Schizosaccharomyces pombe: one gene and its partner. The protein of the gene in region 2 purifies or fractionates together with the protein of the main gene of each other region. This does not show direct contact. Each region holds a gene or a part of one and is shown on either strand. Other genes may lie near its edges.

Region 1 (6,287 bases), on a different chromosome or scaffold from region 2:
GGCATCCTTCATGCCGGTAATGAGTGTACCGGGGTAAAGAGAAATAGGTGAGTCCTCACAGGTCAATGTATCTGACCATACCAGCAGCCCATGAAAATTTATCGTAAATAGTAAAATCTGTGACACTGTTTTTTATTATCTCTTATGATATTTAAGGGTCAATCAGCTTAAAATATCGTGTGATATATGGCAGCAAATTACTGGGCCTCTAGTCAATTGTAAGGTTATCAATTTTAATTTTAAAGGTTTTACGAGAAGGTAATTGGCCTTTAATTCATTCCTATTCTTCTTTAAAATGTCTTAATTGAGTTTTGAATATCTGCTTTTCTATTTTATTACTGCTGAACATATTCTTGACAAATTGAGGCTTGCGAGTGAGCTGATCTACGTCTAATTACTGATCAGAGGAATAGCTTTTCTGTCTACTTCTAGTCACGAGTATCGACTAAACTGGATGTATCTTGTTTGAGTCATTTTGCGCAAATGTCTTGCAATCACAGTTTATTTCGGCTTCTCATTCGTTTCGTTGACTTTAATTTAAAGCGATTTTAGCCTCTTTGTTAGTTTTTGTTTAAAATATCTTCGAACCTTTATTATTCCTTAGTATACTTTTTCAAGCTGACCTTACAGAACACAATTATTCTTATCCACAGATTTGGAATCTTTGGAACCAACTTGCTTATCTAAAGATACAATATATCAATGGAAAGGTATATTTTCATTAATTTTTTTCGGCTTATTCTAGCTTGTGATTTCATTTACACTTCGTTTTGCTGATACAATTCTAGTTGTACAAACGTTTGGAGACAGGCTCAGGCTTCGGCAGCGTGTCTTAGCTACAGCCATCGTTTTATTAAGGCGTTACATGCTAAAAAAAAATGAGGAAAAGGGTTTTTCTTTGGAGGCGCTAGTGGCTACATGCATTTATTTATCATGCAAAGTGGAAGAATGCCCTGTTCACATTCGCACAATTTGCAATGAGGCTAATGATCTCTGGAGCCTAAAAGTTAAACTTAGTCGTTCTAATATTTCCGAAATAGAATTTGAAATCATTTCAGTCCTTGATGCATTTCTCATTGTTCACCATCCCTACACTTCTCTTGAGCAAGCATTTCATGATGGCATTATCAATCAAAAGCAGCTTGAGTTTGCTTGGTATGTATACTTCTTATATTGAAAATCACAGTCGATTAGATTTTTCTAACGATCGAGGAAATAGGAGCATTGTTAACGATTCATATGCCAGCAGTTTATGTTTAATGGCACATCCTCATCAACTTGCGTATGCCGCTTTATTAATAAGTTGTTGCAATGATGAAAATACAATTCCTAAGCTTTTGGATTTAATAAAGAGTACTGATGCCTTCAAAGTTATATTATGTGTTCAACGCATAATTTCTATTTATTATTTTGAGGATATTGAATAACTTCTTGAATACACTATACATTTAGAGCCTCAAATTTTGTTAAAAACGAAAACTATAATTAGATTTTTCTTTATTGCTGATTAATGCCTGAAATTATGTTTTGTTGTCTGGTTTAAAACCGTGTATTATATACGCATTCTCGTTCATGGTGTTATGTCTAAATGAATAAATAGAGCAGTATCTGTGTAATAATATCCAAAATCGAATGGTTATGTCACAAACGTAAAGGATATATTAATGCTTTATCTATGAACCTCAAAAATTATTCCTTAATCACCTCATAGAAATACTCACGTTGTTATAAAATAGCTCATTCTTGTAGCTTCCTGTGTTAATTGAGTTGAACATTCCCCTATTAGGTATTTCTGAAAGGATATTTTTGATTTCAGCAAATTTGGTCCGGCAATTATATAATGAAATTCATAAAGTAAAAACCCTTAAATCTTAAATCTTAAATAAAATAAGCCGTGTCAAGTTTTTAAAACCTAGTTTTGACATAATACAGTGCAATCAACAAATTGAATCGAGAAAGTAAATCAAGCAATTTACGAATGGGGACACCAATATCCCATATTCTATTCTTGATATTTTGCCAACAAAGAAGATAAAGTTTTCACATCAGCGCCGACGATTCTGTCCAATTCTTGACCCTTACGAAACAATACCATGGTAGGCAAGGCATAAACACCGTTCTTTTGAGCAATATCAGAAAATTTATCTGCATTAACAGCAATAAAAGATGCTTTCTGATTTTGTTCGCTTAATTTTTCAAGAAACGGTTTGAGGTATTTGCAAGGACCGCACCAGTCTGCATAGAAATCAACGACGGTAACTTTGTCAGCACTAGTAGCAATTAGCAAGGAGATCTATTCGAAAAAGTTTTATCTTTTATTTTTTACTATGATATATTATTGACTATACATACCTAATTCGAGTATTGTAATCGCCAAACGATTCAACTGCGTTCACCTTTCTCAAAATACGAGAGCTAGTAAAACTTCTGCGCAGAGCAAAAGATCTCATATGCGGCTTTAAAGAGTTTGCAATAAATCCACGCATTTGAATTATAATTTTGGTTGACGGTTTTAATCAAAAATTTAAATAGGTGAAATTATAGCACTTAGTAAGCTAGAACTACCGCCAGGCGGAGAAAAGTGCTTAGTTGCGATCATAAACATTACTCTTTAATACAATATTTTTTAAATTATTACAACATTAATTCAATAAAAAAAGATTAAAAATTTGGGAAACCAATAAAAAAAATTATAATTTAGCATCATTTTTCCCTCTTTATTATATTTTATTAGAATCCTTATTGGAAAATAGAAGCTTTCAAAAAATCTGTAGCCGAACAATTTGAGAGATTTTTTTTTTTTTTTTTTTTTTTTTAATAACTTTAAAAAACACCTAATGAAGTTTATAAATCCTTACCTTTGTTGATTAAACTAAAGTTACTTTAATTTGTTCTTAAATATACAGCCCAAAGATTTTTGGATGGATTTTTTGTACTCACGATTATAAAAACTAGTACTTCAATCTTAAGATTACATAAAACTTCGAAAATCCGGTTATCAGAATTAATTTGAAATTAAGAAAGAATATCATTTTTTTTTAATTTTTATAATAGTAATTTGGCTTTATGCAGACTATTTATAATTAAATGAATCTCTCTTGCTTTTAAATAGAGCAGTTCCTTAAAGCCGATGTCACTTTCTCATAAACAAAAAAAATTTAAAACTTCTTAAATAGAAAAATGAGAATCAATACATTGAAATGGCAATTTATAAGCATATTGATTATACTTTCCTCCTTAAAAATGTAATTTATATAGATTTACATGTATATTTCCTTTATATATGTTTAAGTGGCACCCCTATCAATGTGGCCGTTTGGTCTAGTGGTATGATACCATCTTAGGGTGATGGTGGTCGTGGGTTCGATTCCCACAACAGCCCATGTTTTTGCTACATAGCATTTTGCAGTTAGTTTTATTTAAACAACATTTTCTTTTAGTCTTACTAGAGATTTTGCGTTTATGGTAATTACATTCGATGTTGTACTGAGGAAGTTTTGCTTCGCATGCTACTGCTTTATATACTTTGATATCAGATGGGAATGCGCAAGCAATTGTTGTTATATATTGACTTTTCTGTGCAAAACGTCTCTTTACGACTACTTTACTCATAAATTAACAAGAAGTAATCAATCTTATCGCTGAAATTCATGATCACCAAAACGTCTTAAGTTTAGAAAAGCTTAAGCAATATTTTTATACAAATCAATAGATTCACATAAAATGAAACAGAGCAATAATAAAGCGACTCAATTCTCATTTCGTTACTCTTAGTATTAGTAAAACAGTAAAAAGATTTCGTTTATAGCGTTAAATAAAAGTATGATTTTTTATACATAATTTTTCTTTATAAATAAAGTATGCAACAACTAGCAACTTCCTCCACGAAGAGCTAACACAAGATGCAAGACGCTGCCTCCTTCTAAATGATAACTTTCAGCATTTTTATCATCAGCCCTACGTGATGTTTGTTAGAATCATTGTATGGATGTTCCCATAGTGCTTACATTTGCTTTCCAGCGTAGATCAGACGCTGCTGTGAAGGAGGGATACCCTCTTTTTCTTCAACCCGTTCTTTGATCCTAGAAACCTTGTCATTTGGATCAATGTCTAATTCGATCTTATATTTTGGTTAGAAACATAGATGAATTATAACTGCATATAAATGTTTTCAACATTTAAAACACGAACCTCTTTCCCTGTCAATGTCTATGATTATATATTAGTATACATAAAAAAGAAATAAATTTATCTTACTTTTACTTTGATAAGCATGCTAACTTTTATAAACGCTTTTCTGAAATTGTTGTGGTTAAACGCTAGCAGTTCCTCTCTCTCCCTATAAGCATTCCCCTCTGGCTCACCTCGCGAAAAATTGAATTGGTCTTCAAAGAGGGGACAATGAGTTTTCAGAGTATTAATATAGATAAATGGCTGTAAGTTTTCAATTCTAAAATAAAAATTTTAGGTTCTGCTACATGTTTAACCTGTTCAAAAATTTTTATTATCTAAATGATACCAGGATTTTGTCAAATCAACAATTTACAAGCACTAACATAAACTAGAAAGAACGCCGTAGCTGCTCAAGGATTTAAAAAAATGACACCCGTTCAGGCTAATGCCATACCATTATTTTTGAAAAATAAAGATCTGGTAGTTGAAGCAGTAACGGGTTCAGGCAAGACTTTGGCCTATTTACTTCCTTGCTTCGATAAAGTCACTCGTAGAGATACGGACGAAACAGGTTTGGGTGCATTAATTGTTGCACCTACTCGTGAATTAGCTACACAGATATTCAATGTTACCAAAGAGCTTTTGGCGTACCAACCAGACTCTTTGGATGGAGGGAAAAAACTCGTTGCAGATATGTATATTGGGGGAAAGGGAACGCTCACGAATGATTTAGCTTCATTTCGGGAAAAAAACCCCTCAGTGGTGATTGGTACACCCGGTCGATTGAATGAAATGCTTTCTCATATATCCAGTAAGCATTTGGAAATACTAATATTAGACGAAGCTGATACCCTTATTGACATGGGATTTCAGCGTACATTACAATCCATTATATCTCAACTTCCGAAACAACGTCGAACTGGGTTGTTTAGCGCAACAATGAATGACACTGTGTCATCATTTTTAAAAATTGCTGGCCTTCGAAATAGCGTACGTGTTTCTGTGACAGTTACATCAAAAAAAATTGATACAAGAACACCGTCAAGTCTAGCTATACAATCTTTAGTGATTCCTCCCATATACAAAGTACAATGTATGATACATTTGCTTTGTACGATCGAATACGAAAAAGCAATTGTTTTTTTTTCTTCTTGTGCTTCTGTTGAATATTTTAACTCCCTTTTTCTCACTTATAAATTACCGTTTGAAATAGTAGCTTTGCATGGACAGCAAGTTCAGTCGAATCGATCACGTAATTTTGAAAAATTTAAGAAATCAAATAAAAAAACAGTTCTTTTTACAACTGACATTGCTTCCCGGGGTCTTGATATTCCAAATGTTGACTTTGTTCTTCAGCTCGACCCGCCTTTGGATCCGAAATCTTTTTCTCATAGATGCGGCAGAGCTGGTCGCGCTGGTCGAGCGGGTGTTGCAATAGTTTTGTTAAATGATGGAAGAGAAGAAGAATATGAGGAATTGTTAAGGGTTAGGAAGGTACCTATTACTCGTATAGACACTCCAATTGAAGCTTTAGATCTTTCACGACTTAAAGTATTAACCCACGAATTGAGAAAAATCGTATCCAAAGACAGAGATCTATATGATAAGGGATTAAGAGCGTTTGTTTCACATGTTCGTGCGTACACAAAACATCATGCGTCGTTTATTTTTCGTATCAAAGATTTGGATTTGGGACAGTTGGCCACGGCATACGCTTTATTACATCTTCCAAAAATGCCAGAGTTAAAAGACACCGAAATATCCGAAAATATTTTTAAAAAATTTGACATTGATTATGCAACCATACCATACCGTGATCAAGTACGCGAGCAGGCCAGACGACGCCGATTGGAAGTCGAAAAAACTGAACCCAAAAAATTAGCTCGGCCAGCAAAAATTAAGAACGAAGCTTGGTCCAAACAAAAGGAAGTAAAGGAGAAGCGTAACACCCGACGTGAAAAAAGGAAATCCAAGAAAGAATTTTTGAAGGCACAGAAAAACGAAGCTTCTAATAACCTGAAACAAGAAATAGTATCAAAAGCTGGAGCACAAGAAACGGAAAACGATGACTTAATAGATGAGGAATCGGATGCTTTATCTGAATTAGAAGAGGA
Region 2 (8,462 bases):
TCCTCCCCAAAAATATACTTATGGAGGAAGCGTTAGTAATGCAAGGATAGAGATTTCTTATTACTTTGGGCTTATTTTTTAAGTAACATATATAATTTTAAATAAAGAAATAAAACTTATACGCAATTAAGATTATTGAAGCTTAACTATTTACCACTTTATTCTACGTACAAAAATTATTTCGTTGATGAAAATCTATACCATAGAAAGCAACTTCAAATCTGTTTATATAAGTTTTGAAGAGTCTGCGACGCACAGACAGAGGAATTTTGTATAACTGAACAAGAACTAAATTAAAATGTGTGGAAACTTAAGATGGTACTCGTACGCGACTTACTGCTGGCTATTTAATAGCAAGGATTAATGCATTTAGTTCAAAATATTTGTAACAAAAAAATATCCAAATGGTACACAGAAAGAATAAAAATAACAAAAGAATGGGCTACAAAAAATATAATCAATCCAAATGGATACCGGCATATTCATCGTAACCACAGGACAGATTGAGATTCTGGAGAGCTTGAGTAGCAGCACCTTTAAGTAAATTGTCGATAGTAACTACAATGACTGCACGCTTTCCAGAAGAGTGCACACCAAAACCACCAACTGAAACATGATGCTTGTGTGCGTTGTCCTTGACCAAAGGTACATCTCCTTGAACATGAATTAAAGGCTCACCATTATAACGGTCTTGGTATAAGTTACGAAGCTCACGGGAAGTTATACTTTTCTTTAACGGAACATTAATAGTTAAAGTAATTCCTTGGAACCATTGAGCAACGTGAGGAATAAAGGCGACAGGTTGCTTTAAACGATAAGAAATTTCACGTTCATGGATGTGATCAGTTAATGAGTAAGGTATCAAATTGTTTGTCAATACATTCAAGTCATTCTTCGGAGAGGGCTTAGTGCCAGCCCCAGAATAACCAGATACACCAAAAATAGAGGGCTGGCCGTCAATCAAAGAGAGTATGGGAGTTAAACCGACTTGCGATCCAGTAGCGTAACAACCAGGATTGGAAATACGTTTCGAGTTACGCAAAGCTTCACGGTCATTTAGTTCAGGAAGACCGTACTGCCACGAGGGCTCAAAACGGTAGTCCGCACTTAAATCAACAATGACACTTTTACCATTTGCAGACGTTAAAGCATCGACATAAGGTTTGCATACACCGTTGGGTAGGGCCATGACCCAAGCATCAACCGCTCCCTCTTCCTCTAATTTTTTAACATCATCTGTGGACAAGTTGACATACTGAATTTCTTTCTTAGTGTAGCCAGGAAGTTTGGTGCCTTCCAACTCACGAGAAGAAACATGAGATAATTCGAGATAAGGATGAGTGTTAATCAATCCAATCAAGTTCTTTCCGGTATAACCACGGGCTCCAAGGAGAACGACTTTTGCTGGCTTCGATGAGACCGCCTTCAAAGGTTTTTGGGTCTTCTGAGCCTCAGCAGAAAAAAATCGTTTTCCACCCTTTAAAAACAAAGAACGATTCATTTTTTTGTTTTTTGAAAATAAAGAACTAGTTGAGTAACTTCGTTTTTGATTGATCTGTGAAGAGGAAGGGTTGTTGGTGGTAGATGAAGCAGTAGGGGGTTTAGTGGATTGGGTCTGAATGATAGCATCGGCAAATGGCTTGTCAGACTGAATGAACTTGGAGATTTTATTCAAATCTTTTACACCGTACCAAAAGTAGTAAAAATTATTAGCAAACAAAGTACCTTCGCTTTTAGAGAAGAACCATTCCAGATTCTTGGCTGAAGGTTGAAGACGCCATAGCAAAGAAGGGAAGTCTGCTTTTAATGTTGTTAATATGCTATCAACAACATTGTTTAACCAATTATTGTCGGCGGCACCAAAAGCTAAGAGTACTGGCAAGGATGAGTCGGTGGTGTCGACAATAGCAACAGATTCATTGAAAGAGTCACTATAAATACGAAGTTTTCTGTCTTTCAGAGTATCCTTGAACTGTTTCAAGCTTTCACTAGGTGCGGCTAAAGAATTTTTTTGAATGATCAAATTTTCTAGAGCAGCGTCTGGAATGCTATCCAACGAGTCATGTTTGTTGATGACAAAACCGCGACTAATCAAAGTACCAGCGCCAGATTCCGTAAAAAGCTCTTTTTGCAAATCCTTCGTACTAATAATGGCTACGGAAGATGTACGGGGAAGAGTATCAAGTAACTCTTTGATTTCTTTGATTTTGAGCTTCGTACCATACTTGACCCATGGTTGCTTCATGAGGCCATCGTACTCCCTATCCAAATAGATGCTGCTAATTTTTTTCTTTGTTTCACCGTTGATAAGTCCACCTTTTTCATTGAGATAGACCACCTTTAGAGGCTTCAATACGCGAGCAAGCTCACCAGCAGTAATGTCGGCGTTGACATTCAACAATTGACCAGAAGCAGTTTCGGCCATAGACGTAAGAATAGGGAGGGTTCCAGCACGAATACTGTGTTCAATAGGAGCTTTGTTTACCTTGACAATCTTGCCAACATACTTGTATTTTTCTTTGTCGAGATACTCTGCCTGAAATACACCACCTGTAATGGGACGAGCACGAGTTCCCAACTTTTCCAAAGCATCTACAAGTTTCGCATTTTCCTCTAAGAAAACTTTACGAGCTACAGAAAGAGTCTCGGCATCGGTGATTCGAATACCATCGCTATACTCGGGTTCAACATTTCTGCTGGCAAGAATTTTGTTTAATTGGGGACCAGCGCCATGCACAACGATGGGATAAAGACCCACATGATTCAAAAAGGCAAGACTTTGTGCCAATGTGTCTAATTCGTCGGTGATAATGGCACCACCAACCTTGATAATAGCGAAACGTTGAGCTTCGAAGGAAGTAAAGTATCGTAGGTATTGCTCAACTTCACGACGGCTTCCGATGGAGGAAAGAATTCTAATGATGGCATCACGATCTTGTTCAATTGGTTTCGCGAGTGGGTTTAACGGTTGTTGTTGACCCGGGGCAAAACTGCCTTGAAAACGTTTGCTTGCAATGACTGATGCATTGGAACATAGTAAGCTCCTTTTCGTACAGTGTTTCGCTCCATTCCGTACAAGACCGGACTTGACAATTTGTTGCAATTCAATAAGCATTGCCAAATTCTAGTGATATTCTATGATTTACTGTAGTTGGTAGAAGGCAGTTTGGTTGGTTTCAAAATTGGAAAATCATTTGCTTCGTAAACGTAGCTATAATTCGTTAAAATTTGATTGCTGTATCTAGGGATTTGCTCTGGAGATAATCACTCAAAAAGATGAGATCGATAATGTTACTTGTTGGCTGAAAATTACATCGGAAACCAACAGTTTACATGAAAGTGCTGCAAACGTGAGACATGGACATTTAATGAATTAAAGCTATATAAATGACACTGTAAAAGCAACTCATTTGCCGACAATGAATCTATTTGTATATACATTATTTAATACTAGTCCTAACTGACACAGTACAATATTCATTATTTCTATGCAAGCCAGTTCAATATCTTGATTTATACATGAAAGCATTCTTTTGAAACAATATTTTGTTTTCTATTTGATTTCGCGTTGAATAGTCCCAATGACCCTGATGAGACAAAAGCACTTATCATAAAATTTATTATCTAAGATAATCTCGTTAAAAAAAAAAAAAAAAAAAAAAAAAAAAAAAATTTGGCAAGAAGCCCTTCTCTTTCGTTAAAACTTGTTTCGCTTTATGCAATACTGTAAGTGTAAGCTTGTAATATAGCGAATCTGTGAACTCATTGTTCATTTCATGGTAGTTGTTGATTTCACAAGCATGCTGAGTTATCAATATAGTAACACAATTGGTTTTATTTCAGCTCGCTTGAATATAGTGTCAAGAGATAATTGAATAAACAAAAAAAATAACTACACGTTTTTTAGATACATTTTATTTACAATGTATTGGTTCTTTAAAGAATGGGTGGTAAATAAAAAAAATATTACAAGGTCGAAAAAAATTCATCCCTTTTCATTAGTTCTATAATTAAATGCTAAACCCATGAATATTCTTTTACTGCTAATCAATTAACGATTTTGGTATTTAAAAGCTATTGCTGATAAGTATTCTGACGTTCTGTATCAATATTACCATGAATAACATAAGAAAAAGAAAGGAAATAGAATGTTTATGAGTAGTTTTTAATTTTTGACTTGTTTTATCATATTTCATCAACGTACTAGCTTGTTTGCAACTGAACTCTAGTGTACGATAATGTAAAAATTTTCCATCTCGTCGAAAATCCGCATACGATATATTACGGCGCCAATCTCGCAGTCTGAGAGAGAACTAGATATCGGCTATATGCAATCTCACCCTGAATATCTAAGAAATTACCAGTAACTTGTGGGTTCCTTGTAGTCGACTACAAAAACCGTATTTTTGATATATTTAGTCGAGAAGAATTATTCAGTTTGCAATTGAAAATGTCTTTCAAAAAATTTCCTCGTCATTTACTATCCATTCGTGATCTTAGTCGCGGAGAGATTGTAAAGTTGATCGATCGGTCTTCTGAAATTAAACAAGCTTATAAGCAGAATTTTCAGAATCGCCGTTCTGTTCAAATGAGTGGTTTGTCGTCTCAGAATGTCGCCATGATCTTCAGTAAGCGTAGCACTCGTACTCGTGTATCAGTCGAAAGTGCTGTCAGTTGCCTTGGCGGCAATGCCATGTTTTTAGGTAAAGATGATATCCAATTAGGAGTGAATGAGTCTTTATACGATACTTCAAAAGTTATATCAAGTATGGTTTCTGGTATTGTTGCTCGCGTAAACAAATATTCAGATGTTGCTACGCTCGCTAAACATGCCTCTTGTCCTGTTATTAATGGTCTTTGTGACACGTTTCATCCTCTCCAGGCGTTAGCAGATTTACTCACTATTAAGGAAACTTTCAAAAGCTTTGACGGTTTAAAAGTTGCATGGGTAGGTGATGCCAATAACGTTTTACATGATTTGATGATTGCAAATGCCAAGGTTGGTATTCATACTAGCGTTGCTAAGCCCAAGGACGTCAACGTTCGCGACGATATTTTATCAATCGTTAACGAAGCTGCGAACGAAAACGGTTCTACTTTTGAAATTGTTAACGACCCCAAGGTTGCTGTTAAAAATGCTGATATCGTCGTTACCGACACTTGGATTTCTATGGGTCAAGAAGCTGAGAAGGAACAACGTCTTAAACAATTTACAGGATTCCAAGTCACCGGAGAGATCATGAAGCTTGCCAAACCTAGCTGCAAATTCATGCATTGTTTACCCCGTCATCCCGAGGAAGTGTCTGACGAGGTATTTTATGGAGAGAACAGTTTAGTTTTCCAAGAAGCAGAGAACCGCAAATGGACCACTGTTGCTGTCTTGGAGGCTTTGCTTGTCAACCGTGGTGAAATTCTTCCTCCTGCCTCAGCCTAAACTGAAATCCTTAATTTCATTTTTATCTGGGGAATGTGCAAACAATGCCAACTTTATAATTTTTTTTATTGGGCGTGCAAATTGTGATATTCATTTTTGAAATTTTATGTACTTTGTTTCACAAAAAGAAAATTGACTTTTGAGAAAATTTTTTAATTGACAATTACTTTTCAGATTTTTTATGCGCAGGACACAGGCTTCTAAAGACGTACTTATACGTTAAAAAAGGGGATGGATCAATTTGGCTCATTAGTCCAACAAGCTTTGTGTAAAATTATTACCCGCTTAATGCTATCCTCTTAACTAGATATTTCAAGGTATCAAGCAATCATAGTATTAAGCACTATTATATGCAAAATACAATTTAAAATTAATAGAAACTACAAATAAGCGCAACACTCATAAGGAAAAAGCTTTGGGACAATAAAGCTTTCGTCAATGCGGAATCTACGACAGAAAGAAAACTTAGTGTAGGCATCGAAATTTATTATATTTCAAGCATGTATGCTAGTAAAATAAAACGTAAACTCATTGATTCAAGAAATCTATAGAAAAAAAAGATCTGGGCAAGTAGAGTGTGCATCATCGAAATCCGGCTTCTTTCATAAACTTATCGTATTGCTCTTTAAGTGCTTTGCTTTTATCAATAAATGGCTTTTTCTTGTCTTCCGCCAATTCCTTCCACGCCTTTGATGCATTTTGGGTCTCTTCAACGAGTGTGGAAATGGCTTCTGGAATACCTAACTCTTGACGTAGCTTGGGATTGTTTCGAAGCTCCTTGTAAAAGAGGATAAAAGCAGAAGAAGGTTTTTTAGGAACATCTGGATGACGAAGTCTGTAATAGCGACTGCCCGTGCTGTGAGCCTCCTTCGAGCGACGACGATTTTCACTATCGATTTCTGTAGGTGTAAAGGATCGTAGAGTCTCCATAAAACGCTTTTTCTCAGCATCGAACTGCTCCTGGAGTTTGTTTTTATACTTTTGGATCTCATCGGCAGTCAAAGCTTTGTATTTTTGACGAATCATCTCAAAGCGCTCAGGACCATTACCAGCACCTTTTGTTTCAACCAACATTTGATTCCAAATGGTTTTCAGCCTAGGGGGGATCAACTTCTGTAATCCATTCTTTTCGGCAGAAACGAGAGTAGTGTGAAACTGGCGTATTCTAATTGCAAATACCATTTTGTGAAAAATGATCAAAGATAATGGTGCTTGGTAAGTTAGGTAAGGAGGCATTGCGTCAAACAGACGCATTCAAGTACTGAGTAAATATCGGGTACGTAATATTGTACAACAGACAAATGAGTAGTAAAAAGACGGTTTACTCAATTTTTAATAGCATAGAATAAAGGCGTTAAAAGCAGTTTGTTTGTTTCTTGTAACCACAAAGGTAGTTTCTTTTTCTAAGTGAAACACTTCGACATTCAACATAACAAAGCGTTGGTCCACAGAATCAAAAAGGTACTCCAAAATGAAAAGGAAACAAACGCATCTTCATCTCTTGAGCAACAAAACAGCACTCATTTCTATACTTTTTCCAACCTTCCTTATATACCGTACCTCCCAGCACTCTCATATTCATTACTCACCATAGACTATATTGTAGCTGTGTATTTAGTATAAAAATGTTTCAGTGGAATCGTTGCTATTCACTATTCATTACAGTGTATTCTTTCAGCACGTTATTTTAATTTAATAAACCGAAATAACATGCCCCGGTTCTTCTTTTGTCATATTGGCATCTTGGGTTACTGAAGAGATGGGGTATACGTTGCTTCAATCTCATTAGTTCTAGAGCCCCTCTATACCCCGATTTCTAAACGTCAATCCAACTTAGTTTTAAGGCTGTCGGCCTAATTTAAAGTTCCTTTCTACAGCTACAAAATTTGTATTAAAGGGACGAGAAGCCCCCGGGTATTTGTTTGTTTTTAATAACATCTAGTGTGTATTAACTTTTCTTGGCTGTGTTTAACCAAGTCGTAAGTGTCTGCATTTTTTCGGTATTTCTTGCCGCTTACCACAAACTATAGTACCTTTGAAAAGTTGGCTGTTTTCCAGTAAATTTGCATCGCTTTGTCCGAGAAAGGAGCCTTTTAGCGCCATTTTGACAAAGCTTGTTTAAAACATCTCGTTCGATTACCACCAACGTGTGATTTTGTGATTGTACCCAAACTTTGAAATCCTCACAAATAATTCGATAACTATGACTGTTACTCCCATTAATCCTACTAATCAGCCATACAAATATGTATTTGTAGTCATCGGCCCTGCCGGTTCAGGAAAAACGACGATGGCTAAGGCGGTATCTGAGAAATTGGGTTTTGAGTATATTGAGGGTGATGATCTACACCCCAAAGCAAACATTGAAAAAATGAGTCAAGGCCATCCTTTGAATGATAACGATCGTTGGGGTTGGTTGCATAACTGCGGAGGTGCTTGTGCCATGGAACTTGACAAGGAATCGATAAAGGGAGTTGTGTTAACCTGCTCGGCCTTAAAGCGTAGTTACCGTGATATCCTTCGTAGCTCTTTGGAGCATCGTCCTGCAATTTTGCGCTTTATTTATTTAGCCGCTTCGAGAGAAACACTTATTAAAAGAACGACTAGTCGCAAAAATCATTACATGAAGGCTGACATGGTTGAAAGTCAATTGGCAATCCTTGAGGCTCCTACCGCTGATGAAAAGGATGTTATTACCATTAGCGTTGAGAATGGAAAAGAACAGTCAGAAGAAGAATGTCTTGATATCGTCCACAAAATGGTTAATGAAAACAAGCAACCTTAATGAGTCTTCTGCTTCTAAAATATTTGCACGCTCAGCTCACGTGTCTCTGTTTGTTTATTGTTACTACTTGATACGTTTTTGTAGTCTTTTGTTATTAAAAAAAAATTCAGAAAGTTCCTTGAAACGAAATGTTGTCGGCTTTTTCTTCATTTTTTTATTTTACTTTATAGTTAGCCCGGCTTTCTGTTTTAACTAGCAATATTCAAGGCATTTACCTTCTTTTCTGTCGTTTCTGCTGCAATG

Evidence for each region. The genes of interacting proteins can lie anywhere in the genome.
Region 1: the proteins of arg3 (region 2) and trx2 purify together in Schizosaccharomyces pombe (affinity purification with western blotting, with the first as the bait; one study listed by BioGRID). This does not show direct contact.

The regions. Positions count from the first base shown.
Region 1 is NC_003423.3:2,315,982-2,322,268, forward strand, and holds trx2 (thioredoxin Trx2), read right to left. Parts: upstream 2,550-6,287; 5' UTR 2,487-2,549; coding exon 2,353-2,486; intron 2,297-2,352; exon of another isoform or gene 2,271-2,296; coding exon 2,003-2,270; 3' UTR 1,428-2,002; downstream 1-1,427. Other genes in the region: SPOM_SPBC12D12.05C (calcium-binding subfamily carrier protein), read right to left, coding at 1-5; cyclin CycC-like Srb mediator subunit Srb11, read left to right, coding at 187-218, 631-710, 789-1,155, 1,220-1,427; ubiquitin-like protein modifier for cullin Ned8, read right to left, coding at 3,870-3,957, 4,008-4,120, 4,192-4,209, 4,258-4,275; ATP-dependent RNA helicase Spb4, read left to right, coding at 4,402-4,436, 4,566-6,287. UniProt on the Schizosaccharomyces pombe protein: Disulfide reductase which serves multiple functions in mitochondria, protecting mitochondrial components against thiol-oxidative damage as a thiol-disulfide oxidoreductase, and supporting urea cycle and respiration in mitochondria in a manner independent of active site thiols.
Region 2 is NC_003424.3:2,269,562-2,278,023, forward strand, and holds arg3 (ornithine carbamoyltransferase Arg3), read left to right. Parts: upstream 1-4,359; 5' UTR 4,360-4,450; coding exon 4,451-5,434; 3' UTR 5,435-5,955; downstream 5,956-8,462. Other genes in the region: arg11 (N-acetyl-gamma-glutamyl-phosphate reductase/acetylglutamate kinase), read right to left, coding at 458-3,115; cmb1 (cytosine-mismatch-binding protein 1), read right to left, coding at 6,017-6,616; idn1 (gluconokinase), read left to right, coding at 7,638-8,219. UniProt on the Schizosaccharomyces pombe protein: Ornithine carbamoyltransferase involved in the synthesis of arginine from glutamate via ornithine and the urea cycle.